Linked DNA regions of Sus scrofa. The protein of the gene in region 7 interacts with the protein of the main gene of each other region in a pairwise test. Links are inferred from orthologs where the notes say so. Each region holds a gene or a part of one and is shown on either strand. Other genes may lie near its edges.

Region 1 (3,996 bases), on a different chromosome or scaffold from region 7:
AGAAAAGAAAAGTGAGTGCAACAAGGGTTAATCCTTATTCAAAGGCAATCATTCAAACCGTCTGAACAAATATGGCCACTGAGTTAAGAAATAATAATAACTATTTGAAGTAACAGCAGTACTGATGATGGTGATGAGTTTGCAGACGCCCTCCTGCAGCAGAAACCTCTTGGTGAGGATGCGGAGCGCAGAGCGCGATCGCCCCCATCCCCCATTCTCCGAACCTTTCCGGACTTGCGGGAGAACCGCGAATTGTGGGAAGTCGGGGTAGTTCGGGACACTGCGCAGAAACCTGTCTCCAGGGCTGCACCCGCGGGGGCGAGCGCCCAGCTCTGGGGCGGGGAACGCGGGGCGCGGCGCCGGGCTCTGCAGGGCTGGCTGCGCTCCACGCGCGGCTCACCACGTGCGCCCCCACCCGGCCAGCGGCTGTCGGATTTGGCCCCCAGCTGCGAAGGGTGGGGCCGAGCTACTAGCTCAACTGACGAGGGTCTCTCGTGCGGAGACCATCCAAGGGGTCTGACCCAGGAAAGCGTGGAGGACAGAGCGTGGGCCGTGGGCTTAGGCTGCGGGAAATAGCCCCAAGGTCCTCCGAATGTGGGAGGGCGAGAAGAGAAACCCTCCCCGCCCTGCTGGGAAGGGGTCACCTCTGCGGTCCCGCGGCCGGCTGGGGTGGGGCCGCCGCCTTTGTGTGGCCTGGCAGGGCTCTAGCCAGCCCGTCTGCAGAGCTACTTTCTAGGCTGGGAGTGGCTCGGAGCTGGCACTCGGAGCAACGCCCGGTGTCGGCTCACTTCGAGGGGCGCCTGGGCTGTTCTGGGCTGCGGGGTTGGGAAAAGGGGCACTGGGACTGCAGATCGCTCAAGGGCCCCTCCCCAAACCCCTTTCTTGGCCAAGTATCTGAAACAAGGGCTTTTGACTCCGCCAGGGAGGGTGGGGCAGGGAGGAGCTGTCCAGAACAAGCCCTTTTCGCTGGCTTTTCCCTTCTCCGCATCCCACACTGGGTCCTGGGGGAAGGGTGTTTCCAGCTGCCACCCAATCTTGGGTCCCTCCCTGCCAGTCCCCAGCTCCCACCTACCCCCTCACGGGGGGGGGGCATTGGAGACGCATGACCCTTTGGGGATGGAGGCCCTGGATCCGGAACTTCGTTTGGTCTCTTCTGTCTCCACTGTCTCTGACACGGGGCTGAGCTTATGAGAATTGTTGGTCTTTGGCCCTGTCTGACCTACAAAACAGATATTTTACTTGGCTCAATTTAAGACGTTGACCTCTTTTGTATCCGGTTATTATATATACTCATATCTAGGTTCCGAAGCTTTTTCCCAAAAACGACCAAATGAGTTCAAAAAGCCTTTATCTGCGTTTAGTCTAATCACCCTAGGTAATGTGTTTTTGAAAAGAAAAATGTTAACCCACTTTTGCCCCCTTCTCTCCCTAAAACAGAACAATGAGGCCAGGGGTGGGGAAGGCGGGGGCAATGGTCAGGTCTCACTCGTAAGCAGAGCCAAGGAGTCAGGAACGCAAAGCACGGGGCGTGGCGCGTGGCCATGCTGTCCCCCAGGGCTGGGCTCCCGGGCGTCGCGCTGCGCTCCCGACCCGGCCCCTTTTCCGCCGAGGATGCTGCGCCGGGCTGCGGGGGAGGGGGGAAGGCGCCGGCGCGGCTCCGCACAGGGTGGGGCAGTCCGCATTGTGAGCCCAGCTCTGCAGGTGCCTCCCCCCGCCCCCAGGGGGGGACTGCTCGTCCTCACACAAAGAAACCCCACCCCAGCGCCTGCGAAACCGATGTCCCTCCACCCCTCCCCAACGGCGCACTTCCCCGCCCCTGCAGCTGCCCACCCGCGCCCTCCGTGCCCTCCCGACTTCCTCTCTCCTTCCCCTCCCTTTCCCTAAAACAAAGGAGTATAAGTCTCCCCGCCGCCCCCATCCCCCCAACCCCGCCCCGATCCCTTCTCCCTGCACCGCGCCCCAGGACTAGCGGTTTTTCCGACTAGACAATACCATAAAATTTGCCCGGTTCTTCACCCGCCTCCCTTGTCTCCACCCATCTTTCAAAAAGCCTAGATAGGACGGCTTTGACTTTGCATTTTTCTTTTTCCTTTCTCTCATACCCCCTTTTCTTCCCTATTTTCTTTCTTTTTCTTTTTTTAACTAGAGAAGAAATAAAGCACGTTACAAAGCACTTTTCAAAATATCGCTTAACCCGGTTTAAGGCATACTGTTAAGATAGCCCCCTCCCCCCACGACTGAGCCCTAATTTAAAATATGGAAACAGAATAAATTTCCTACCCATGGGAAGTCAACTTACCTGCTTTCACCTTAAAAAAAAAAATTCTTCGCTTTAGATGTTTAAGGATCCCCTCTGTTTCCTCCCCCTAACCCCAGTGCTGCTTCCGTCCTTGCCGATTCCTATGTTACCAATAACATCTTTTTCTCTAAAAAATATCTCCAAATGCCTATGAGAGAAGGTGAGAGGTGGGCTCCAGAGAGAGCCGAGGAAGAACGAGGCGCGATGCCTTACCCATTGCTGTTTTAGCCATTGTAGGGATGTGCAGATGCTGAGCGGTGGCGAAGGCGGAGGGTCCAGCTACAGCAGCGCAGAGAGCGAGAGAGAAGACTGAATAAGGCACTGAGTCTGCAGAGTGGGACCGTGCGAGAGAAAGAGCAAGAGGCAGGAGCCCATGAATAATTATCACTCAGAAGCTCAAGCAGATTGGCTCCCAAGGTCCCCTGACATGACTCCCACAGAGTCAGAATCTCCAAGCATTAAATATTGATCGGCCAATGGTGCTGGAGTACAAAGTACCAGAATGCAGTTTGAAATGGAAATCAGTCCTTCCTGGCAGCTCCCCCCGTTTTGGGGGCCTGATAGTACAGTCCAAGTAGAGTGGAGCCTTAGCCCAGAAGCCTTCTAGGAGCTAAGAACTGGGCTGTGCCTACCTGGGAGTCAGGAGGCTTGACTTGATTCGCACATGTTTCATTGCACAAATAGACATATAAGAAGGAAAGGGATTCGCAGGCCTGAGAAGTCTTCACAACATGCTGACTGTTGGAAATAACTGTTTAAACCCTGTTTTCACTAGTTCATGTTTTCTCTTTTACCTTTGGCCACATCTTTGGTAGATGATAGTCTTCCAGGGTGACACCATGTCTGGCCGTGGTGGAAACTCAGTGCAGAACTGCATTATTGTCCTTTGTCTCCTAACACAGCTGGACTCAGGCGTCTCTAGACTCTTGAGGATCTCTCAGCAGAGCAAGGCCTGATGTTTTCTACTCGTGACACAGGAGGAAGGGGCTGCCTGGGTTGCTTGGGAATAGGGACAAGCAGTTATGGTCTCTCTGGGGACTTTGTGGAAGAGAATGAGCATTAGCCTCTTGTGCCTGGGTCCTGTGCGTCTGGAAACAGGGCAGAACCAGGTTGACTGGTTGGCTTGAGGACTGGAGGAGCCAGAGGTGGGTGGATGCCATGCTACCCTGGAGATGTAGAACTGCACTGATTGAAACCTCAGTGAACTTTCTAGGGCTCTAAGGAGAACCCACTGAGAGCTTAGTGGAGATGAGTGGTGTGGTCTGGAGTATTTTTTTTTTTTTTTTCTGAGATGCAGAGGTACCATTGATACAGGCTAAAGAAAGATGTGTTCATGTTCTAGGCTGAGGATTTCTTGAAACCAGCTGAAAAAAGCTGCTTTTCATTATGAACAAGATATTCCTTAATTCACACCTACTCACTTAATGAATGCTATTCATTGGTTCCTTTTTTTTTTTTTTTTTTTTAACTTGACTCACAGAAATACTCATTAAGCATTTACTATGTGCCAAGCTCTGAGGCCACAGCAGTGAGAAACATTTTAGGACTTGTTCTCTTGGAGCTTTTAGTCACTGTTATTTTAACACTTCTGTGACTTCACTGAATCTTCCTCCAATCAAGGTCTATTCAGAAACTGTGATTTTGACATTGGGAAAATAGGCAAATAATCCCCAATTCCATTATATTTGTAAGCTGAA
Region 2 (2,942 bases), on a different chromosome or scaffold from region 7:
ACTGTGATGGATACATGTCATTATACATGTGTCCACACCTACAGAAAGGACGCCGCCCAGAGTGACCCCTAAGGTGAACCATGGCCTTTGGTTCATCCATTGTAACAAATGTACTTGGGGGGGGGGGAATGATGGCAGTGGGGGAGGTCGTGAGTGGGTGGGAGGGCAGGGGATGGGAAATCTCCATACTTTATTTTTTTAGGGCCACACTCTGGGCCTCTGGAAGTTCCCCAGCCAGGGACTGAGTCCCCAGTGGCAGCTGTGACCTACACTGGGTCCTTTAACCCACTACCGAAGCAGGGGATCCAACCTGGCCTTGGCAGTAGCCGCCCCAGCAAATGCCTAACCCACTGTGACACATCTGGAACTCCTCTGTACCTTCTGCTCCAGTTTTCTGTGAGCCTACAGATGCTAAAGAGAGAGAGCCGGGGGGGGGGGGGGGGGGAGAGAGAGAGAGAGAGAGAGAGAGAGAGAGAGAAAGGCAGAGCAGCACGCAGGAGTTAGCGGCCCCAGCCTCCTCACGCCTTTATTACTTCTCTGAGTTGAACAGATCGCCCTGGCACAGGGACCAGCGGGTGGGCGCCGGCGGGCGGTGACAGGAAGGCAGGCGATGTCGTTTGCCCCCCCAGCTGGGTGCCTCTGTGCGCCTGGGGGGCGGGGGGGGCGGGGGGGGCTCAGACCCTGCTGGGCTTCTTGGGGTCCTTGTTCTTGGCCGGCATGAAGGCGTACAGCTCCTCAATGAGCATCTCCATCCGGGCCGTGACCTCCGTCACCGTGTCAATGACGAGCTTCTGCTGCAGCTTCAGCTTGTTGTTCTCCCACAGCGCCTTGTTCTCCTCCTGGAAGATCCGGTGCTCCTCGCGCAGCGCGTGCAGGGCTCGGTTCTCCTCCTGCAGGAGCCGGTTCTCCTCGCGGAGGACCTGCAGGCTCTGGTTCTCCTCCCGCAGGGCCTGCAGGGCCTGGTTCATCTCCCGCAGCAGCTCCAGCGACTGGCTGCCGTCGGGCAGGCTCGGGCCCGCCTTGCCCGCCTCCTCCACCCCAGGCGCCCCGGACAGGTTGCTGACCATCTCGCGCAGGGCACGGTAGGTCTTGGCGTCCTCCTGCGGCCCCGGGGGGCCCTTGGGCTCCTCGAACGGGGAGGAGAGGCCGGCACCCTGGTCCGGCAGCAGCCCGTGGGGCTCCTCGTGGGGTGAGGACACCGGCTTGATCTCCTCGGCCGAGGCCACCTTCTCGTCCGGCTGGACCCAGTAGGCCTTTCTCTGCTCCAGCAGCTGCTGCAGGGCCCGGTTCTCCTCCCGGAGGAGCTGCAGGGTGCTGTTCTCCCGGCCGCGGTGCACCTGCAGGGCCGCGTCCTTCTTCACCGCATCCATGGCCGAGGCGGTGTCCTTGTGCAGCAGCGGCGAGGATGCTCTGCTGTCGTCGCGGCCCAGCGCCGCCTGGTGCTCCTCCCAGAAGACCTGCAGGATCTTGTTCTCCTTGCGGAGGGTGCGGTTCTCCTCGCGCAGCGCCTTGTTCTCCTCCCGCAGCGACTTGTTCTCCTCCTGCAGCAGGCACTCTTTGGCCAGCCTCTTGTGATGCAGCTTGTGGTGGAAGGACGAGGACGGGGAGAAGTAGGGGGACTGCAGGCGGCAGTTCTCGCTCACCCAGCGCCCGACCTGGAAGACGAACATCTCGTCGCTGAGCTGCACCCGGGGAGGGTTGTAATCCAGCTCCAGGTCCGCCTGGGAGGTGGGGCGCTCCATGGGGTCCAGGGGCACGGAGGAGAAGCGGTTCAGCGGGTAGGAGTGCTGGCTGACCACCCGGCGGCTCAGCCTGGGCAGGGCGGCCTGCCTGGCACAGCGCGGGGCGGGGTACAAGTTGTGGAGCCTCAAGAAGGGCTCGGCTGTGCCCCTCTGCGGGAGAGAACAGGGAAGCCCAGAGTTAGAGAAGGCGTGGGGGAACCCGGGGCTGGAGACCCTGCAAGAAACCCAATCCGGGAGTCTCGACTAGCGCAGTGGGTGCTTCTGCACTTGGCCTCTGGGGTTCCTCCCGAGGAAATACATCGACCCTCACTAGTCGCGACAGTTCTGTTCTATACAGTTCCACGAACTCATAGAATGTGCGCATACTGAACCATTGCCAGGAGAAGAAACACAGGTTCCCGCCAGCCTCTGGTCACATTGTCCTCAACCAATCAATATAAAACTTTGCTTTCTGTTGAAAGACACCTTCCTGAAAATGTATTTTTTTATTTGTTAACATCAAACTTGCAGCCAATAGCACTGTACCGTATTCCTGTCTCTGTAAGGCACATCAATATCTTCTGGAGCTTAGGACCCCGAGACAGCACATCAGCGCTATGCTTGAGCGCCACTGTGGACAATGAAGTCACTGACAAAAAGCGTAAAAGTGTGAAAACAACAACATTAAATAAACTGTGAAAAGAGCACTATTTTGCATTCTGAGAGCTGAAACAAGAAGGCGCCTCAACTGGAAACAGGTACATCAGGGAACTTAAATTGTTCATTATTCTCTACATGTCCACGAATCACCACAAACATGCCACGTGTATTGATTTTGGAGTTGCAAACTAATTTCAGTGAGAAAAAAATGGGCAAATTCACACACATGGAATCCACAAATAATGAGAATCCACAATGTATCATGGAGGTTAAAAGCGTTGATGTTGGCATCAACCAACTACTCTGAGTCCTGGCTCCACTCTTTGATCAGTTACAAGAACAGGGACAAATTCCTGTGAGCTTTAGTTTCTACTGTCTTCCATTTGGGATAATTGCACCTACTGCTTTGCCTCATAGTGATATTTTAGGATGCAAAGAGGTCCTGTATGAAAGCACTAAGCGTGGGCTCTGGCACACTTCTGTTACCCTACAGGAAGAATAAACACTGATCAGCTACCCCAGCTGTAGATGTGCACGCACAATTGGCATCACCTAAGAGCC
Region 3 (3,500 bases), on a different chromosome or scaffold from region 7:
CCACAGCATGTGGAGGTTCCCAGGCCGGGGACTGAACCTGAGCCACAGCAGTGACAATGTAAAATCCTAAACCTGCTGCACCACAAGGGAACTCCTATTCTGTGTATCTTAATTATGGTGTAAAATTAAGGATACTGAAATGATACATGAAGTATCTTAGTTTTAATGACAGGTTTATTTGTATTCAAAAATTGAAATCTGTGTAATTTTGGATGGTGTTTTTCTACTTCTTTGCATTTCCAGAACCTGGTTCAGTATATAGTCAGAACTCAGTAAGTTCTTTTTTTTTTTTTTCCGCCTTCCTTTTTAGGGACACACTGGTGGCATATGGAAGTTCCCAGGCTAGGTGTATAATCGGACACCTTAGCCACAGTAACAAGGGATCCAAGCCGTGTCTGTGGCCTACACCACAGCTCACGGCAAGCGAGGCCAGGATTTGGATTCGCCTCCTCATGGATACTAGTCAGATTTGTTTCCACTGTGCTACAATGGGAACTCCCAGTACGTTCTGACCATGATGCATGGCTTCTACGTTCTAAGGCCTTTTATATTTTTTTTGGCACCAAGACACAAAAGTCTTGGTGCCACTGTACCAATTTGAGGGGAGAGAGTTGTACTTTAAGTGCAAGGCTCTTTTCGGGGTACACGGGGAGTCTGGTGCACGACATGTTCTAATGGGACAATTGTCTAGTTAATATCTATCGCGATCATCTTGTGTGTGTGGCCTACACATAACAGGGTTACTTTAATGCGACCTGAATCTAGCATCTTTCATTTTAGTTGGTCAGACTAGGGAAAAAGGAGTATTTTAATTTTTAAAATCTACTAAAAATGTCAATAAATCAAGATCACAGCAGGGAGAAAGAAACAGCTCTTTTATGATTACTTCTTTGAAAACAGGTACTACCATTTAAAATTTTTTCATCCCTCATGGACTTGGGAGAATAGACTTGGGGTTGCCAAGGGGGAGGGGGCAGGGGGCGGGAGGGGGAGGGACGGGGAGTTCGGGGTTAATAGATGCAAACGACTGCCTGTGGAGGGGATAAGCAGTGAGATCCTGCTGTATAGCACCGGGAACTATAGCTAGTCACTTGCGATGGAACATGATGGAGGATAATGTGAGAAAAAGCATATACATATGGCTGAGTCACTTTGCTGTACAGGAGAAATTGACAGAACAGTGTAAATCAACTATAATGAATAAAATAAAAGTCTTAAATAAAATAAAAATTTTGCATCAAATTTAGGACAGTGTTTGCTGAGGGGAGGGCATGTAACCGAGGAGGGGTTATAGGGGGAGCCTTCACAGTGCTTAAGTGGATCCTTTTTTCAAGCTGGGTGAGTGTTCACGGTATTATTCTCTTGTACCTCTTTGCATAGCTTCACTTTTGCACAATTCTTTTTTTTTTTTTTCCTGGGCAGCATACATACGGAGTTCCCAGGCCAGGGATCAGATCTAAGCCACAGGTGGGACCTAAGCTACAGATGCAGCAAAGCTGGGTCCTTCAACACCCAGTGCTGACCAGGGATCGAACCTGTGTCCTGGTGCTTCAGAGACACTGAGAATCCCATTGCACCTTGGCAGGAACGCCACAATTCATTTTTTTTTTTAAGAAAAAAGTGAAAAATTATGTATACTATTCACAGCTTTCTTTTGTTTCACATACTGGACCACTTACATCCAGGACACTTCACCCAGGGTGAAGAGAGAGATTTCTCTCATCATAGCAGATTTTATGTGTTGAGAAAGCTTAGAGAAAGTAAAAATCAACTTCCACACCTTCCCAATGGTTTTTTTTTTTTGCTTTTTAGGGCCACACCCACGGCATATTGGAAGTTCCCAGACTAGGGATGGAAACGGAGCTACAGCTGCTCGCCTACACCACAGCCACAGCAACACGTCTAACACCTACACCACAGCTCATGGCAATGCCCGTCCTGAACCCACTGAACGAGGCCAGGGACCGAACCTGCATCCTCATGGATACTAGTCGGGTTCATTAACCACTGAGCCATAAAGGGAACTCCTCCCAATGGTTCTTTATTCTCAAAAAAGTCTCTTATGCGATGTTAAACATTGCTCTTAATTGCAAATGTTATTTCAGTGGAACAGGATTGGTACAACGGCAGCGACATGCCACACCCCAAAGGCGACTCTCCCGGCTGAGTAAATACCTCGATTTCCTGTAACTGCTCCTGATTGGTTGTGTACATCTGCTGAAGAGAATCCTCCAACTCTGTGTTCCGATCCAGCAAGGTCTTCCCAAGCTCAGCCGCAAGCTGGAGATCTAGCACAACAGGTAAAGCTCAGAAAAGCACAAACGATTCCACTTCAACATCTTATATAACCCAGTTCTTAAAATAAGAATGAACCAAGACCCAACCTAACATATAAAGTTGAAGTCAGATCCCAGAGGAAGGTGGAAATGGCACAGAAGGAAACCTGGGTTCTACTCAAAATTCAGCTGAATTGGGGCCTTTTACCAGGTAACGTACTGGGTACCCTTACTTGTTAAGACGTGAAGGACAGAGATCTACTTTCTGGAGGTGCATTCATTAGTTTAGCAAGGATCGTTTAGCACTGCGATGCCTAAGATCATAATTATTTGCTTACGGACTGGACTTAATCATGTGATGGTTGTCTACTTTTTTGGATGGACGGTTAAGCCAAAGTAGTCTTTCCACACTCTCTAAAGTTCCCATGAATCTGACAGCTGTGAGAGCAACGCTCAAAGTAAAGTGTGTTCTGGAGTTCCTGTTGAGGCACAGTGGAAAAGAATCCAACTAGGAAGTAGGAGATTGCAGGTTCAATCCCTGGCCTCGTTCAGTGGGTGAAGGATCCAGCGTTGCTGTGGCTGTGGTGTAGGCCGGCGGCTACAGCTCTGATCGGACCCCTAGCCTGAGAACCTCCATGTGCTGTGGTACGGCCCTAAAAGGCAAAAAACAAACAAACAAACAAACAAACAAAAAGCAAGCAAGCAAGAAAGCCAAGTGTGTTGTGTTGTGATAGGTCCTGGCCTCCTAAAGGGACTAAACGTTTAGTCAAGAAAAGGGAAAAAGCATCAGTGATGAGAACACTGCCTCTGATCTCTCTCATTTTTCTTCCCGTTTCTCTCCATGCCCTTCTCCAGGATGAACAAACCAGATGCATAGAGCAACAGTAGTTTGTGTGGTAACTCAGGTCGTAGCTTATACTTTCATTTAACACAGAACCATGTCTATTTAAACCTCATTTTTCAATGCTGTCTTCATAGGCATATATGCACCTAAGACAGGATTTGTATTATATACAATCCTAGAAATAAAAATTTAGTGATACAAAAAGGGACAACAGGAGTTCCCATCGTGGCTCAGCGGTTGAGGAACCCCACTAGTATCCATGAGGATGTAGGTTCGATCCCTGGCCTTGGTCAGTGGGTTAAGGATCCGGCGTTGCCGTGAGCTGTGGTGTAGGTCGAAGATGGGGCTCAGATCCCACGTTGCTGTGGCTGTGGTGTAGG
Region 4 (4,263 bases), on a different chromosome or scaffold from region 7:
AGCATTTTGCAGCTGAGCGTCTCTAATCTGGAAAACATGCAAGAGAGAACGATATTTTCAACTGGACAAGAGCCTAACGTGATTGAGTTTATCCTCGGCTACCACCCCTCTCATATCAAAGATGATATTCATCTCAAAGGCTTTTCTTTTTTTTTTTTTTTGTCCTTTGTCTTTTGTTGTTGTTGTTGTTGTTATTGTTGCTATTTCTTGGGCCGCTCCTGCGGCATATGGAGGTTCCCAGGCTAGGGGTTGAATCAGAGCTGTAGCCACCAGCCTACGCCAGAGCCACAGCAACGCGGGATCCGAGCCGCGTCTGCAACTGACACCACAGCTCACGGCAACGCCGGATCGTTAACCCACTGAGCAAGGCCAGGGGTCGAACCCGCAACCTCATGGTTCCTAGTCGGATTCGTTAACCACTGCGCCACGACGGGAACTCCTCAAAGGCTTTTCACATGAAAACAGAAAAGCGGCATATTGCGATGGGTCTTTCTCACACAAAGACTCATAAAATGCAACTTGAGTCCCAAGGGTTTGGCCAGCTTACGATTTTACAAACGGATGGTGTATTTCAACTCGAGCCATCAGACTTTATTGTGTGCCTTGCCTTTGATGTTGTTCCTGCTTAGAGTAGTCCTCTTAGCCCCTCTCGCTTGGTGAACTCCTCTTCCTCCACGTCTTAGCTTAGGCATCATTGCTTCAAGGCGGTCTGTCCTCAAAACAGCGCTGGATAACCTGCCTGCGCCTTCATTGCCCTACACTTCCCTCAGTGCCAGGATTTATCCATCCTTGGCATGCCCATTTCCCCCACATCACATCATCTCCACCGTCATATTCCTCAGTGCCCAGCTCCTAGTTAATATCTACTAAATATTGGCCAAATGAATGCACCCTTGCTATGTGGTAGGGTTTCGACTAGGCACTGGGGCTGTCAGGATGGATAAACCCCTGATCTTAAGGAGCAGTTACCTGATACTGAGTCCTCTAAAGTGGACCAGAAATCTGCTTGTAAAAGATGCTACAATGGCAGGTCTCTTTCAATAGCCCTAGTCCCGAAAAGCACTGCCTTCCTTCACATCCTGGGTCTGCCCACCTAAATGGAACATTTGCCTGTGTGTTTGGGATGTCCAAGGTAACTTCAGACACGTGAATCATGAGGGGGTAGGGCGAATGGCTGGCTGATTTTGAACGTTTTCTAGCGGGAGCCCAAGGAGAATGACATGTTGGTGGAAGGGACAATTTAAACACCTTTGTCTCCCATCCCCATCCTCCTGAAACCCCGAAATAACTTCTTATGAATCTGAATCGAATTGCGCTGATGTCTAACACAACATAAGAGAAAGAGACATGTTGGCAAGCGGCCCTTGCTCTCAAGAAATAGGAGTGTTAAAATAGAAATGAAAACGAAAGGGAGGGATTAGATAAGGTTAGCAAACAGAGTAAGTGTTCTGTATCATATTTGAGATCTTCAACTAGGAGCAAAGTCTTTTATTCCATAAAATTGATAAAACGGAGAACTCCACCTTTTCTTGTATGATATGGGAGCAGGTATGATTGCAATAAATTTGAATTGCGGGCAATAAAATACTTTATGACTGTAGAACTGGTTTCTGCTGGGGGATGATCAGATTATTAAACATTTAAAAGACATTTTAAAATCCAGGTATCATTAAGACCTTGGCCCCTGCCCCCATTTCCACCCTGAATCACTTTATCATTGAAATCTCTGAACGAATATTCTACTGCTTGAATTACAACATTTACATAAATGAAAGGAGGAAAATCTCTCAATTGACCGGGGTTTTAAAAGTTGATAGAAATTAGGTGAAAAACTATGAAAGGTTTATTGCTACATAAAAAATTGTTAGCTCTTCCCAGAAAAATATGTTTACTACCTGCTTAGCCCAGACTTGGTAGACTATGTGTGACCAAAATTCAGATTGTAAGACTGGAGGATAAAATTTTAATATTTTATGTGTAATTGGATGGTGATGATTTTTTAAATGAATGGTTTACAGTCATCCTATCATGTAGTCAGGTACTGCAGTACGCAGGGTAGATAATGGGATATATACCATTTTGAGCGACGCAACATTTAAACCTAATTTGCTTTATAGCGTTTGGACCCACCTAACGTATTTGCCTTCTTGACATACATATCATGCTGCTGACCAATGGAGTGGAAAGCCCAGACATCACGCCTCACCTGATTTCGAAGATCTTGGATTTGTTGGAGATACGCGCTGTGGTCCCGACTGATGCCAGGCGTGTTGCTTTCATACCACTGCTTGATCTGCAGTTCAAATTTGGAGTTGGACTGCTCCAGGGACCGCACTTTTTCTAGGTAGCTTGCGAGGCGGTCATTGAGGTTCTTCATGGTCATCTTCTCATTGCCAACCCACAGGTTCCCTTCAGCTTGGTCGCTCCCATAGCTCACCACGCGTCTAGAAGTTGAGATGCGGGTGCCATGGCCTCCAGCACCCCCATACACGCTGGGTGCGGCTCCGAGGTACTGGGTGCCCCCCTTCCTGTATATGGAGCTGCTTATGCTGAGTGCAGGGCCCTGGGAGGAAGAGCTCAGGGTTCTGCGGAAGCTTTTCTGATTGAAATCCATTGGGGATTCTAGGAGGGAGCAGCTGTAGCTTCAGGATGGATGGAGCAGAGTCTGTCTCTTGGTCCTGGATGAGCTGACCTTTTATAGAGTTCACAGGAAAGAAACGCCTCCTGTGCTGACATCTCCCTTTACGATCGATCGACACCGCAGTCCACCTTGCCTTGCTTTTTTTTTCCTCTCCTTTGTGCAGCAGTCTGTTTAATTCTGTTCCAGAAATTACCACTAGAGGCCTTTCTAAGAGGCTTTACTCAGAGGTGATTTCTTTTTTAAACAGGGGAGACAAAAGGAAACAGGAAGGTGTATTCTTTTATCCTCTGCACCTGCTTTGGCCCTTTTTATTTTCCATCCTAATATACACATAAAGAGTATTTGCAGTCTCTATGAATAATTTACCTGAAAAGACAGATGTGGTTATATAATAGTAACTCACACTGGTGATAAAAAGCAATGCTTAAAATTTTTTTAAAAATTCAGTACATTTTAAAACTCTCAGTACATTTCAATTATACAATACCGTGTTGTCAGCTCTAGTCACCATGTTTTTTTTTGTTTGTTTGTTTGTTTTTTTAGGGTCACACCTGTGGCATATGGAGGTTCCCAGGCTAGGGGTCTAGTTGGAGCTACAGCTGCCGGCCTACGCCACAGCCACAGCAACATGGGATCCGAGCCATGTCTTCAACCTACAGCTCATGGCAACACTGGATCCTTAACCCACTGAGCAAGGCTTCATCGGATTCATTTCCACTGCACCACAATAAGAACTGCTTTTCTTTTTCTTTCTTTCTTTGTTTTTTTTTTTTTTTTTGTAGACACCACATTTGAAATGAGATCTTCAGAACTTACTCATCTTATAGCTGAAAGTTTGTACCCTTTTACCAACCTCTCTCCATATCCCTCACACCCAGCCCCTGGCAACCACTTTTCTACTCTCTTTTCTATGAGTTTGACTTTTTTTTTCTTCTTCAATTTAAGATTCCACATAAAAGTGATGCTATGCAGTATTTGCCTTTCTCTGCCTTGGCTCTTTCGCTTAGCATAATGCTCTCGAGGTCTCTCTGTTGCTGCAGGTGGCAGAATATCTGTGTGTGTGTGTATATATATGTATATATATTCTTTATCTGTTCATCCGTTGATGGACATGTAGGTTGTTTCCATATCTTAGCTATTTATGAATAATGCTGCCATGAACATGGAAGGGCAGTTGTCTCTGAGACAGTGATTTCATCTCCTTTGGAAATATACCTGGAAGTGGAATTGCTGGATCATGGTGTTGTTCCATTTTTAATTTTTTGAGGGACCTCTGTATTGCTTTCCGTAATTGCTGTACCAGTTTACATTCCCACCAATAGTACACCAGTGTTCTCTTTACATCCTATTATCCCATCTTTTTATTTTTATTTATTAGTTATTTTTTTCTCTTTCGGCTGCTTGCATGGCATATGGAAGGTCCTGGGCCACGAATCAAATCCAAGCTGCCAAAGAGACAGTCTGGATCATTAACCCACTGTGCCACAGCGGGAACTCTGTTATCCCATCTTTTTGATGATAGCCATTCTAATAGGTGTGAGGTGCTATTTCATTATTTCATTCTTCCCCCCCCCCCCCCGCCACCGGGAGAAGGAATGATTTATTACCTGCAGCAAGTAAGG
Region 5 (4,018 bases), on a different chromosome or scaffold from region 7:
CCTTGGACCAGCAGGACCTCTCCTTCTCTCTTAGCTGATGGAGGGCAGCTGTGGCGGGGCTGTCAGCACCATGCCCCACAAAATACTCCTTTTTTTTTTCTTCTTTTTTAGGGCCGCACCCACAGCATATGGAAGTTCCCAGGCTAGGGGTAGAGTCGGAGCTACAGCTGCCGGCCACAGCCACAGAAACACCAGATCCAAATTGCATTTTCGACCTAGGCCACAGCTCACAGCAACACTGGATCCTTTTTTTTTTTTTTTTTTTTTTTGGTCTTTTTGCTACTTCTTTGGGCCGCTTCCGCAGCATATGGAGGTTCCCAGGTTAGGGGTCTAATCGGAGCTGTAGCCGCTGGCCTACGCCAGAGCCACAGCAATGCGGGATCCAAGCCGCATCTGCAACCTACACCACAGCCCATGGCAACGCTGGATCGTTAACCCACTGAGCAAGGGCAGGGACCAAACCCGCAACCTCATGGTTCCTAGTCAGATTCGTTAACCACTGCGCCACAACGGGAACTCCAACACTGGATCCTTAACCCACTAAACGAGGCCAGGGAGTGAACCCGAATCTTCAAGGACACTATGTTAGGTCCTTAACCCACTGAGCCACAATGGGAACTCCCAAACGCCCGTTTTAGTAACACCACCCTTCCCTCTGCCAGAGGATACAATCACGAATGGATTTCTGCTCAATCTGCTGTAGCTCCAGTTCAACCTGCTTTGAATAGTGACGGAGATCCACACCCTGGAAGAGCATAAACACGATGGGTTGGGGGGGGCAGTCAGAGAAGGGACACTGCAACAAAGTCAACAAAGGATTTGGGGAGAAGACATTAAGATATTACACGAAGAGACTGTTTTCTTCTTTGAGGGGAGGGTGAGTGGAGGGGCAGATTAGGAGAGCAGAAAACCTCACCGTTTTAAGAGCTTCCTTTACTAACTCATCCTCCAGATTTGCCTGAATGTGAACTGGAAAGAGAAGTTTATCATAAGGGTCCAAAGGGCTCCACAGCGCCCGCTACCCACATCCGAACATCTGCACACCAATTCCTGCCTTATTACCTCCAGCCCCCATGCCTCTTAAGATGACAGGCACTGCGGCCACCTCGTGCCATCACTTACCATCAACTTCATCCAGGATGAATTCATCAGAGGTGAGGTCCAACTCTCCAAGTTGCAGTGGCTCCTGGAGACCTGGACCACCCCCCTGGAGAGGGGCAGGTTAATGGGAAAGGGAGGGGGAGAACAAAATATAATGGGGAGAGAGGACTTTCACTGGGAAACCAGAGAGAAATGCTGAGTCCAAAAAATTCCAAAATCTCATATTGTCCCAATCTACTCATTGGGGCTGATGGGTAGGGAATATGACAAGGAGCCAGCAAACCCACAGAGGTGACCAAATGAGGAAAATTAGGAGATGCAGGGACAGAGCAGAACTTGCAGTTGAACTTAGGGTCTCCAGACTCCTTCTATCTTAGATGTTCTGTTACAATCCCCGTGGGGAGCTCCAGCCTTTCTAGAAATGTCAGTTAACACAGTGTTCACCATCGTGCCAGGTGTCATCCTACATTCACCTAATCCTAACCGACAACCTCTACAGTAAGTCTTATTTTTTCACTTTATAAGTGTTAAGAGTGATGACACAGAGAGGCTAGTTAACTTGCCCAAACACACACAGCATAAGTGGCTGAGCTGGAATTAGAACCGAGGCAGTCTGGCCATGTTCCTAGCATTTACTCTACACCGCTTCTCTATCCTGCGCAAATATCTGGAGTTTAACTGAAACTGTGGCCCCAGAACCTAAGTATCAGCCATTCTAGTCCCCACTTTGGTCCAGGTCCGATCCGGGGAGGGGTATGGAGAGCCAGACCAGGCAGCATCACCGGTAGCAGCCGAGCTCCCAACCTTGCGCGAAACCCAGCCCAGACCTTTCTGACGTGAGAAGACCGGACGAGACTCTGGAGGAGAAACAGCCCTGCGTCCTCACCAGTGGGCCCTCCTCCTCCTCCATATCTGAGGCCCCGGACCGCAACACCAGCTCCCGGGCGGCTGCCGCCATGGTAGCAGCGGCAGCCATTCCGCGCAGCCCCACTTCCGGCAGCTGTCGGGCAGGTCCGTTCCCCTGAGTGGAACTGCAAGTTCTGGGGCGTGATGCACGAAACCGTTCCCAGATATTTGAGTTAAACAGACTGCCTCTAGCTCTCCCCTTTTCTCTAAGCTCTTCGCCCAAGTCCAAATGGAAACTGAAAGTCTTAAAAAGAGAATCTCAACCCGGAACTCTCGTGGCTCTCACGCGCAAAAACTTTACGATCTGTAAAGAGAGACGGCACCGGAAGTTGTGGCGCGCAGTTCTGACTCAGAGGCCTAGCCGGCTCAGGTACAAGGAGTTTCCGGAAGCGCTTCGCCAAGGTCGCTCCGCCTCTTCCGCCTGGAAGCTATATAAGAATGTCACGTCACTTCCGCTCTCTCTTCCACTGGAGGCCTACACGCCGCCGCCCGCGCTGCAGCCATGGTAAGAGTTGGGTTCGTTCGGGTATCTGGCGACATCGGAGCCGGGACAGGGAAGGCTTGCTGTCAGAGCGCCGAAAATGTCCTGGCCTGGGGGCTCGCAGCGTTTTGTGTGGAGCCTTGGGCCTCATTCCTGGAGAAGGACGACAAAGCACCCAGTTCTAGGCAGCGGGGCCCGAGGATGAGCGCTCCCCGGGCTCTGGGAAGGCTTGGGAGCGCGTGGGCCCTCCGTCCCGCCGCTTGGGAGCGGGCAGGAGGCGTTCTCCTCCGGAGATGGCGTTCTCCGATCCTGGACGCTTCCTGTTGTGCTGTCGGCAGGACCAGGGAGTCGTGTTGTGTCGTGAAGACCTGACGGGGGCTCTTTGCACCTTGCGTGACAAGCTTCACGCTCGTGTTTGGGGTTAACGGTTTGGCGGGAATTAGCGAAGTCTGACATCTCCCCCCATCTCTATCAGTCTCTAGTAATCCCTGAGAAGTTCCAGCACATTTTGCGAGTACTCAACACCAACATCGATGGGCGGCGGAAAATTGCCTTTGCTATCACTGCGATTAAGGTAAAGGAGCTGGGGGTGTGAAGGAAACTTGGGTAAACACCTGAGGTGTAAGCGAAAGTCTCAACCGTGTCACCTGGGCTGCTGGGTAAAAACAATGGTCAGGGTCCATCTAAGCCCTTGCCACATTTGCCGCAAAAGGTAAGTGGTAAAAGCCAAAGAACCGTCTTAGGTGAAGCAAAGTTGTTTTCACCTAGGGGTTGGGGAAAGGCTTTGGTTGTCTGCCAGCATTTGTTCACTAAACCGGCCTGGACCATCAGCAGTCAACTTATAAGGTCCCTGCTATATAGGTTTTTGCTCCTCCTAGTGCATCATAAGAGCAATTCTTGTGAAATGTGTATGTCCTGGAAATGGGATAATGGTACACTCTGAAGGGAGAGTAGAAAGGCCAAGAGATTCCAAGCATGAAGAAACCAGGAAATGGGGGGGGGGTCACTATTTCATAACAAGGTCAGTGAGCACAGGCTTAACTAACATAAAAAAATGACCTTACCAGTATGTTTATGTTATGTGGTGCCAGGGCTAAGCCTTTCTTGCTCACAATCCCCAAAGGACACCACAGTAAGTATTTTATAGATAGGTTGTTAATTTAAAATGGTGAATCACAAGCTTTGCTTTATAAGAGCCATCATGTTTACTTTGAATTCTTTTCATTCTGTAATTCAGGGTGCACAACTTTCGGTCTTAAGTGGTGCATGAGGAGACTGCTTCCTTCTATTGTGAAACTAGTAAGGCGGTGCACAGTAGAGGCTTATTTTATTGCACTTTACAGATAACCTCTTTTTTGTGGCAACCCTGTCTTGAGCAAATCATTTTTCCAACAGCATTTGTTCACTTGGTGTCTTCTGTCACATTTTGGTGATTCTCACAATATTTCAGACATTTTCATTGTTATATTTGTTACAGCGATCCATTGTCATTGACTTTTGTTACTATTGCACAAAGGCTCAGATGATGGT
Region 6 (3,500 bases), on a different chromosome or scaffold from region 7:
TAAGCAAAAGCTGAGAGAATTCAGCAACACTAAGCCAGCTTTACAACAAATACTAAAGGAATTTCTCTAGGCAGAAAAGAAAAGGCCACAACCAGAAACAAAAATACCACAAATGACAAGGCTCACCAGTAAAGGCATGTATACAGTAAAGATATGAAATCATCCACACACAATTATGCTATCAAAGTCAGAAATAGTGAGAAGAGGAGGATACAAATCAAGTTAAATAAAATTCTTAAAAACTTTTTTCCTTAGGTAAATAATTGACTTTATTTGATGAATACTTAATATTGATACTGCAGAAAAATATTTGCCCCAGACTAGTGGGCTTTTGGTTCATTTTTGTTTTTTCATTTGGTTTAAGTTCTTTTACTTTTATTGGAGTATGGTTGACTTAACAATGTTGTATTAGTTTCAGATGTACAGCAAAATGAATCAGTTATATATATAACTGATGGATGTATATATCTATTAACATACATGGATATATAGTGGATATATATAATTGACATAATATTATTATCCATTATAATATATATAATGGATATATGAGCCATTCTTTTTTCCCATATAGGTTACTACAAACTATGAGCAGATTTTCCTGTGCTATACAGTAGGTTCTTATTAATCATCTATTTTACACAGTAGTGTATATTATTAACCCCACCCCCAATTCCTCCCTCCCCCAACAGTTTCATCTATGGTTACTAGAAGACTGGTTTTGAAATCTGTTTGTTTCTGTTTTATAATTTCTTTTGTATCACTTTTCCCCACATGTAAGTGATATCACATTTGTCTTTGTGTGACTTACTTCACTCAGTATGATAATCTCTAGGTCCATCCATGTTGCTGCAAATGGCATTTCATTCTTTTTTATGGGTTAATGATATTCCATTATGTATATGTACCACATCTTTATCCATTCCCCTGTTGATGGACATTTAGGCTGCTTCCATGTCTTGGCTATCATAAATAGTGCTGCAATCAACACTGGAGTGCATGTATCTTTTTGAATTATGGTTTTCTCTAGATAGATGCGCAGGAGGGGGATTGCTGGACCATATAATATGGTAGTTCTATATTTAGCCTTTTAAGGAATCTCCATACTGTTCTCCATAGTCATCGCTCCAATTTACATTCCCATCAACTGGGTTGAAGGGTTCCCTTTTCTCCACATCCTCTCCAGCATTTATAGTTTATAGAATTTTTGATGACAGACATTCTTACTGGTGTGAGGTGATACCTCAATAGTTGTGATTTGCATTTCTCTAATAATTAGTGATGTTGAGCATATTTTCATGTGTTTTTGGCCATCTGACTTCTTTGGAGAAATGTCTATTTACATCTTCTGGCCATTTTTTTATTGTGTTGCTTGTTTTTTAAACTATAAAGCTGCATGAGATGTTTGTATACTTTGGAGATTAATTCGTTGTTGGTTACTTTGTTTGAAAAGATTTTCTCCCATTCTGTGGTTTGTCTTTTTTTTTTCTTTTTTTTGATGGTTTCCTTCACTATGCAAAAGCTTGTAGGTTTAAGTCTCACTTTTATTTTTGTTTTTATTTTCATTACTCTAGAAGGTGAATCCAAAAAGATACTGCTCTGATTTATGTCAAAGAGTGTTCTGCCTATGTTTTCCTTTAGGAGTTTTACAGTATCTGGATTTATGTTTACGTCCTTAATCCATTCTGAGCTTATTTTTGTGTGTGGTGTTAGAGAATGTTCTAATTTCATTCTTTTACATGTGGCTGTCCAGTTTTCCTGGCACTACTTATTAAAGAGACTATCTTTCCTCCACTGTATGTTCCTGCCTCCTTTGTCATACATTAGTTAGCCAAAATTTTTTTTAAATTTATTTTAACTTTTTCTATTACTTAATTATTAGTGTTGCTTTATATTTTCAAATTTAAAAAGAATCTAGTGAAAATGTAAAGTAGTTCAATTATATTACAGGCTAATAATATACTGGATTTTGTTAGTATTCTGAAATCATTTGAATTCCTAAACAATTTGTCTATAAACTTAAGTTTTCTTTTAGTCTCAGTAAGTTGTAAACTAGGACAACAGCTATAATAGAGGTTAAGTTCAAAATTATATCCAGTTAGTGAAAACATCAAAACATCTGAGAACAAGCCCTCAAGGTTTGAATGCATATAAGTACAAAGATATTTGAGTAAATCTTCTCAGACTGGACTTATTATTTTCAAGTAGTAAACTTTGGTAACTTGTTTCTGAGAACTACTGAATTGTCTTACCCTTTTTCTGCTTTATCAGTTCCTCATGTGCCAGATTTCTCTCACTTGTTTCATTCTCCAAGGCCTTTTTATACTGTGCCGCTTCTCTGGAAAGAATGTTTAGATTATCTTCAGCTTGTGTTCTCTCTAACTCTAAACGATAAATCTTTTCCTGAAGAGTTTTTAAGGCTAAAATAAGAGCTGTTGAAAAAAAAAATTGTTTACTATTATTTTAAGTGAGAATTTTTGAACACTTACTATCATAGCATTTAAAAGTGAACAGTTTATTTTCGTTAGCCATAAAAATAAGTAATTTATATTCCTCATTAAAAAAAGAAAAATTACTGAAACTCTAAAAAGGGTTAAGTTCTAACTTATAAAAACAATATATTTATGATTGTATTTAGTAATTTTTTAAATTTGAGATTTGAAAAAGCTAATAATCCCAATTTAATTTCATAAAATATATTCATATTAAAAGACAAAAAGATAATGTATAGTCTGGGATGCATAAGAGTCTGAGTACGGATGAAGAAAATTAAAACATATTATCCAGTGGGAGATCCCCTCGTGGCTAGTAATGAACCCAACTGGTATCCATGAGGATATGGGTTTGATCCCTGGCCTTGCATAGTGGGTTAAGGATCCAGCACTGACAGTGAGCTGTGATGTAGGTCGCTGGTGCAGCTCAGATCCCACATTGCTGTGGCTGTGGTGTGGGCCAGCAGCTACAGCTCCAATTTGATTCCTAGCCTGGGAACCTCCATATGCCGTGGGTGCAGCCCTGAAAAGACAAAAAAGATACATATATAGTATCCACTAATTAACAAGGAAATTCAGGTTTAAAGTCACAAGTTTTTGCAGTTCTTGATATGCTTCAGTTTTGGTCAAAACACATTTTCTATTTCTTTATATACTTTCAAGATATAATGTTAATAATTAGGACACATGAGAAAGAATATAGTTTCTTCCATTAAGAAAAAATTACAACCTAGTGGTTTAACTGATATCAGGCTTGAAAGATAATAACTGTTACACATGTACTACTGTGATTTTTATTCAGCTATATTAATATCTTCATGATTCGGATAAGTTCAGAGTTTACAGACATTATCTTATACTTTCTTTTCAGTTACTACTTTAAATTATAAAACTAAAGATGAATGGAATATAAATAAATGCTCTGGGTTAACTTTCATATAGTTTATATCCAATTAGAAAGATGTTTGCTAGAGATTATTTCGTGATTTGGATTATTATTTCTTGAAG
Region 7 (3,500 bases):
CTGCACCCATGGCATAAGGAGGTTCCCAGGCTAAGGGTCTAATCGGAGCTGTAGCTGCCGGCCTTCACCAGAGCCACAGCAACGCGGGATCTGAGCCACGTCTGAGAAATGCTGGATCCTTAATCCACTGAGTGAGGCCAGGGATCGAACCCGCAAACTCATGGTTCTGAGTCGGATTCATTAATCACTGAGCCACGAAGGGAACTCCTAATTTATATAAATAAAATCACCCATTCTGAGCCTGCCTCCTCAAATGCAGCATAACATTTCTGACTAGGACAGAGTCCTGCAAGCTCACCTAGCCACCTGGTCACCACCACACAGGTGCTGGGCAGGTCCAGAGAGAACAAAGCTCAGCAAGGGCACACAGGAGTCAAGGTGGTCCTAGAATGAGGGTTCCATTTCCCTCCCCCCAGGTGGGGCTCAGCGTGGGGATCACAGAGGCACACCATGTAGGGGTGGGCTACACAGGCTCACCTGCTGCTTCAGGTGGGTCTCCTGTTGTTTCATCAGTTCGCACATCCTCTGGGACTCCACAGCCTCTTTGAGGAGCTATTTCCGAGAAAGGACCCCAGATCCCATCAGAAGCTCCTAAGGGCTTGTTTTTTCAGCCACACATGCCATAACCCACTGAGGCTTCCTGCTCACAGACTGGTCTGAGGGAGCAGTGCCTTGGTCTCACCAGGCAGCAACTTCTCCTGTACAAACCTAACTATGAGATAAGCTAGAACCCAGGCCCCCCACCCCCGGGGTCCAAGCCTCACAAAATCCTTCTCCCGCTGGTGCCTCTCCTCTGCCTCCTTCAGCATCTCCTGGGCCTGCTGGAGCTTGGCGTCCACCAGTTGTTGCTGTAGGTCCTTGTGTTTGAAGACTTTGTCGATATGCTGCAGGAAAGCATGGTGGGAGGGGTCTGCCTGTTGGGAGCTCCCTTTTTCAGGGAGGCCCCATCTGCAGAGACCAGGGCACAATGCCCAGCCCCCCACCTGAGTCTGACATGCTGGACTCCCATGTGTCCCATAGGAACACGGGACACAAGTCTCTGGAAGTTCTTCCCAATCTCACCTTATTTCTCTGCCTCAGTCAGTCTCGGGTAAGCACAGGGGTTTAAGCATGAGATCAACTCCAGAAAGTCAAGTAACTAATACACCCAAACCTCTAGCCCTAAGAAAGATTACTTTACTGGACTGACAACCCTCATTTTTTTTTTTTTTTTTCCCGTTTTTGCTTTTTAGGGCCACACCTGCAGCATATGAAGTTCTCAGGCTAGGGGTCGAATTGGAGCTGCAGGTGCCAGCCTACGCCACAGCCATAGCAATGCTGGGATCAAAGCCACATCTGCGACTTGTGCAATGCCGGATCCTTGACCCGCTGAATGAGGCCAGGGATTGAATCTGCATTCCTCATGGATACTAGTTGGGTTCTTAAACCGCTGAGCCACAATGGGAACTCCCGACAACCCTCACTTTTGTAAATGGAAAGGGCACAAATGACACCTCTACCAGCTCAGCTGGCAGAAATTTGCTGTATCTGTAGACTAGATGTGTGCATCCCAGAGAATGGCTGTCCTGACAGCTGGAGGAGCCTTGGGAACTGGGACTAGGGCGGGGGGAGCAGTGATGCAGAGAAGGTGTGGACTCAAGTGCTACTTCAAAGGTCAAAGCAACTGAAAAGAGGGAGGTGGAGCATTGGCTGTATTTTCTGGATGTGGGAAGAGGAAGTGGCTTCGAGGTCTAGCTTGGGACAGGATGGATTTGAGTCACCTGAAAGTCCGGAGGCTCAGGGGGGTAGGGTGGGAATGCCTGAATCTGACTGGGGATGGGATGCACCACCAGCTCCACAGGTAGTACCAGTGAGAGAGGAGAGGGAGAGGGCCCTCAACTTTTCCAAGTTAGGTGCCTAACTCAGGAAGCTTCCATGTTTCTCAGATCAACGCCTCAAACCAGTCTTGTTCCCAAAGGATGAAGCACAGGAAAAGAAGAGGTGGGTTGGGGAGGCCCCTCCAGGCCCTGCACACACATGGTCACTGCATGTGTGGACTGTGAACCCAAGAGGGTAGGGGCTTGCCCACCCACCCACCACCACATTCCAGGGCCTAGGAAGGGGTCTGGTCCAGCCCCATAAGGTAGCTGCCAGTCTCTCTTTTCATGACAAAGAAACAGAAGCCCAGGACAGCCAAGTGAATGGTGTCTGGGGACTCAGAGGGAAGGATCTGAGAGCCTGGGGCAGCACCCAACACCAGCCAAGGCACTGTATATCCTGCCCTTTCACGTAGCAAGGGCAGCAGAACACCAAATAATAAAGAGCACACAGCCCCGAGGGTCCATCACTCATGATAGTTCCAGCTCTCACCTTGTGATTCCAAATTCTAAAAAAGTCTGAAAATTGAAATCATCAAAAGCAGGCAGATACGGCTGACCCCAGTCATTGTCAGGCTAACCAATAATCCAAGGGGAGCTGCCTCAGAGGTTTAACTGCATAAATCTCCATGTGTCTGACTCGGGGGTGCTGCCACAAGGGCCTGCTGGGGGCGCTATGTAACATACAGTCTGTGAACGTTTAACTCCAGTCTAAAATGTGAGCAGTTCTAATGCCTAAAGATACTGGCCCCGCCATTTGGGTCAAGACCGGTGGTTGTGGCTCCAGGCAAGTCTCTTCTCCTTGCCTTGGATCCCCATCCCCATGAAAATGTACAACATCACCCCCTCCGAGGACAGAGGAGGGTGGACTGTGAATGGGATGAAACCTGGAAGGTGCTGCCCGGCGTCCAGCACCCGCCCAGATCCCAGTTCCCTGGGGACCCCTCACCTCCTCCCGCAGCTCATACTGCTCAATCAGCTTCTTGAGCCTCTCTGCCAGCTCCACATTCTCCTGGCGCAGCTTGGAGTTGCGCTCATTGTGCTGTTCCATCTGCAGCTGGATGTCATTCAGTGTCACCTGGAAGTGCGAGGTCACCTCCTTGCGTTTCTCCTCCTCCTCTCGGGCCCGCTGCACACCTTCTTCCTGGGCGGAGAAGTCAGCCACAGCTCCATCATCCACTGCTCCCCAGCCGGCCTCAGGAGGCTCCCCCGCCAGTCCAGGGATGGTCTCTCCCAGCGCCCCCCCTGCTGTCCAAGTGAGGAGTAGCCAGGCTCCAAGATGTCATGCAAAGGGGACTCCTAAAGGACCTCGCTGTAGATCAGGTGACATCGAGCGAGGGACTTCCTAGAGAAGTGCAGGCTTATGTGTAAGTGCCTTTCTTTCTTTCTTTTTTTTTTTTTTTTTGGTCTTTTTGCCATTTTCTTGGGCCGCTTTCTCAGCATATGGAGGTTCCCAGGCTAGGGGTTGAACCGGAGCTGTAGCCACCAGCCTACGCCAGAGCCACAGCAACGCTGGATCCGAACCGCGTCTGCAACCTACACCACAGCTCAGGGCAACGCCGGATCGTTAACCCACTGAGCAAGGGCAGGGATCAAACCCACAACCTCATGGTTCCTAGTCGGGTTCGTTCACCACTGCGCCAC

Evidence for each region.
Region 1: the proteins of TXLNA (region 7) and STMN2 interact in binary tests that used the Homo sapiens proteins (3 or more experiments, as listed by UniProt). The two-hybrid records come from large-scale screens. The link is inferred for Sus scrofa from reciprocal best matches to the Homo sapiens genes TXLNA and STMN2.
Region 2: the proteins of TXLNA (region 7) and SPERT interact in binary tests that used the Homo sapiens proteins (3 or more experiments, as listed by UniProt). The two-hybrid records come from large-scale screens. The link is inferred for Sus scrofa from reciprocal best matches to the Homo sapiens genes TXLNA and CBY2.
Region 3: the proteins of TXLNA (region 7) and CDR2 interact in binary tests that used the Homo sapiens proteins (3 or more experiments, as listed by UniProt). The two-hybrid records come from large-scale screens. The link is inferred for Sus scrofa from reciprocal best matches to the Homo sapiens genes TXLNA and CDR2.
Region 4: the proteins of TXLNA (region 7) and KRT20 interact in binary tests that used the Homo sapiens proteins (3 or more experiments, as listed by UniProt). The two-hybrid records come from large-scale screens. The link is inferred for Sus scrofa from reciprocal best matches to the Homo sapiens genes TXLNA and KRT20.
Region 5: the proteins of TXLNA (region 7) and VPS52 interact in binary tests that used the Homo sapiens proteins (3 or more experiments, as listed by UniProt). The two-hybrid records come from large-scale screens. The link is inferred for Sus scrofa from reciprocal best matches to the Homo sapiens genes TXLNA and VPS52.
Region 6: the proteins of TXLNA (region 7) and CEP57L1 interact in binary tests that used the Homo sapiens proteins (3 or more experiments, as listed by UniProt). The two-hybrid records come from large-scale screens. The link is inferred for Sus scrofa from reciprocal best matches to the Homo sapiens genes TXLNA and CEP57L1.

The regions. Positions count from the first base shown.
Region 1 is NC_010446.5:57,003,945-57,007,940, forward strand, and holds the start of STMN2 (stathmin-2), read right to left. Parts: upstream 2,801-3,996; 5' UTR 2,532-2,800; coding exon 2,513-2,531; intron 1-2,512. UniProt on the Homo sapiens protein: Regulator of microtubule stability. When phosphorylated by MAPK8, stabilizes microtubules and consequently controls neurite length in cortical neurons.
Region 2 is NC_010453.5:21,611,819-21,614,760, forward strand, and holds the end of SPERT (spermatid-associated protein), read right to left. Parts: intron 1,893-2,942; coding exon 675-1,892; 3' UTR 501-674; downstream 1-500.
Region 3 is NC_010445.4:23,806,803-23,810,302, reverse strand, and holds part of CDR2 (cerebellar degeneration-related protein 2), read right to left. Parts: intron 2,289-3,500; coding exon 2,176-2,288; intron 1-2,175.
Region 4 is NC_010454.4:21,583,220-21,587,482, reverse strand, and holds the start of KRT20 (keratin, type I cytoskeletal 20), read right to left. Parts: upstream 2,801-4,263; 5' UTR 2,615-2,800; coding exon 2,207-2,614; intron 28-2,206; coding exon 1-27. UniProt on the Homo sapiens protein: Plays a significant role in maintaining keratin filament organization in intestinal epithelia. When phosphorylated, plays a role in the secretion of mucin in the small intestine.
Region 5 is NC_010449.5:29,636,369-29,640,386, forward strand, and holds the start of VPS52 (vacuolar protein sorting-associated protein 52 homolog), read right to left. Parts: upstream 2,801-4,018; 5' UTR 2,513-2,800; coding exon of another isoform or gene 2,510-2,512; 5' UTR 2,078-2,509; coding exon 1,988-2,077; exon of another isoform or gene 1,929-1,987; intron 1,208-1,928; coding exon 1,123-1,207; intron 970-1,122; coding exon 917-969; intron 746-916; coding exon 670-745; intron 1-669. Other genes in the region: RPS18 (40S ribosomal protein S18), read left to right, coding at 2,510-2,512, 2,964-3,062. UniProt on the Homo sapiens protein: Acts as a component of the GARP complex that is involved in retrograde transport from early and late endosomes to the trans-Golgi network (TGN).
Region 6 is NC_010443.5:75,208,993-75,212,492, reverse strand, and holds part of CEP57L1 (centrosomal protein CEP57L1), read right to left. Parts: intron 2,433-3,500; coding exon 2,253-2,432; intron 1-2,252. UniProt on the Homo sapiens protein: Centrosomal protein which may be required for microtubule attachment to centrosomes.
Region 7 is NC_010448.4:88,666,551-88,670,050, reverse strand, and holds part of TXLNA (alpha-taxilin), read right to left. Parts: intron 3,001-3,500; coding exon 2,806-3,000; intron 885-2,805; coding exon 765-884; intron 553-764; coding exon 478-552; intron 1-477. UniProt on the Homo sapiens protein: May be involved in intracellular vesicle traffic and potentially in calcium-dependent exocytosis in neuroendocrine cells.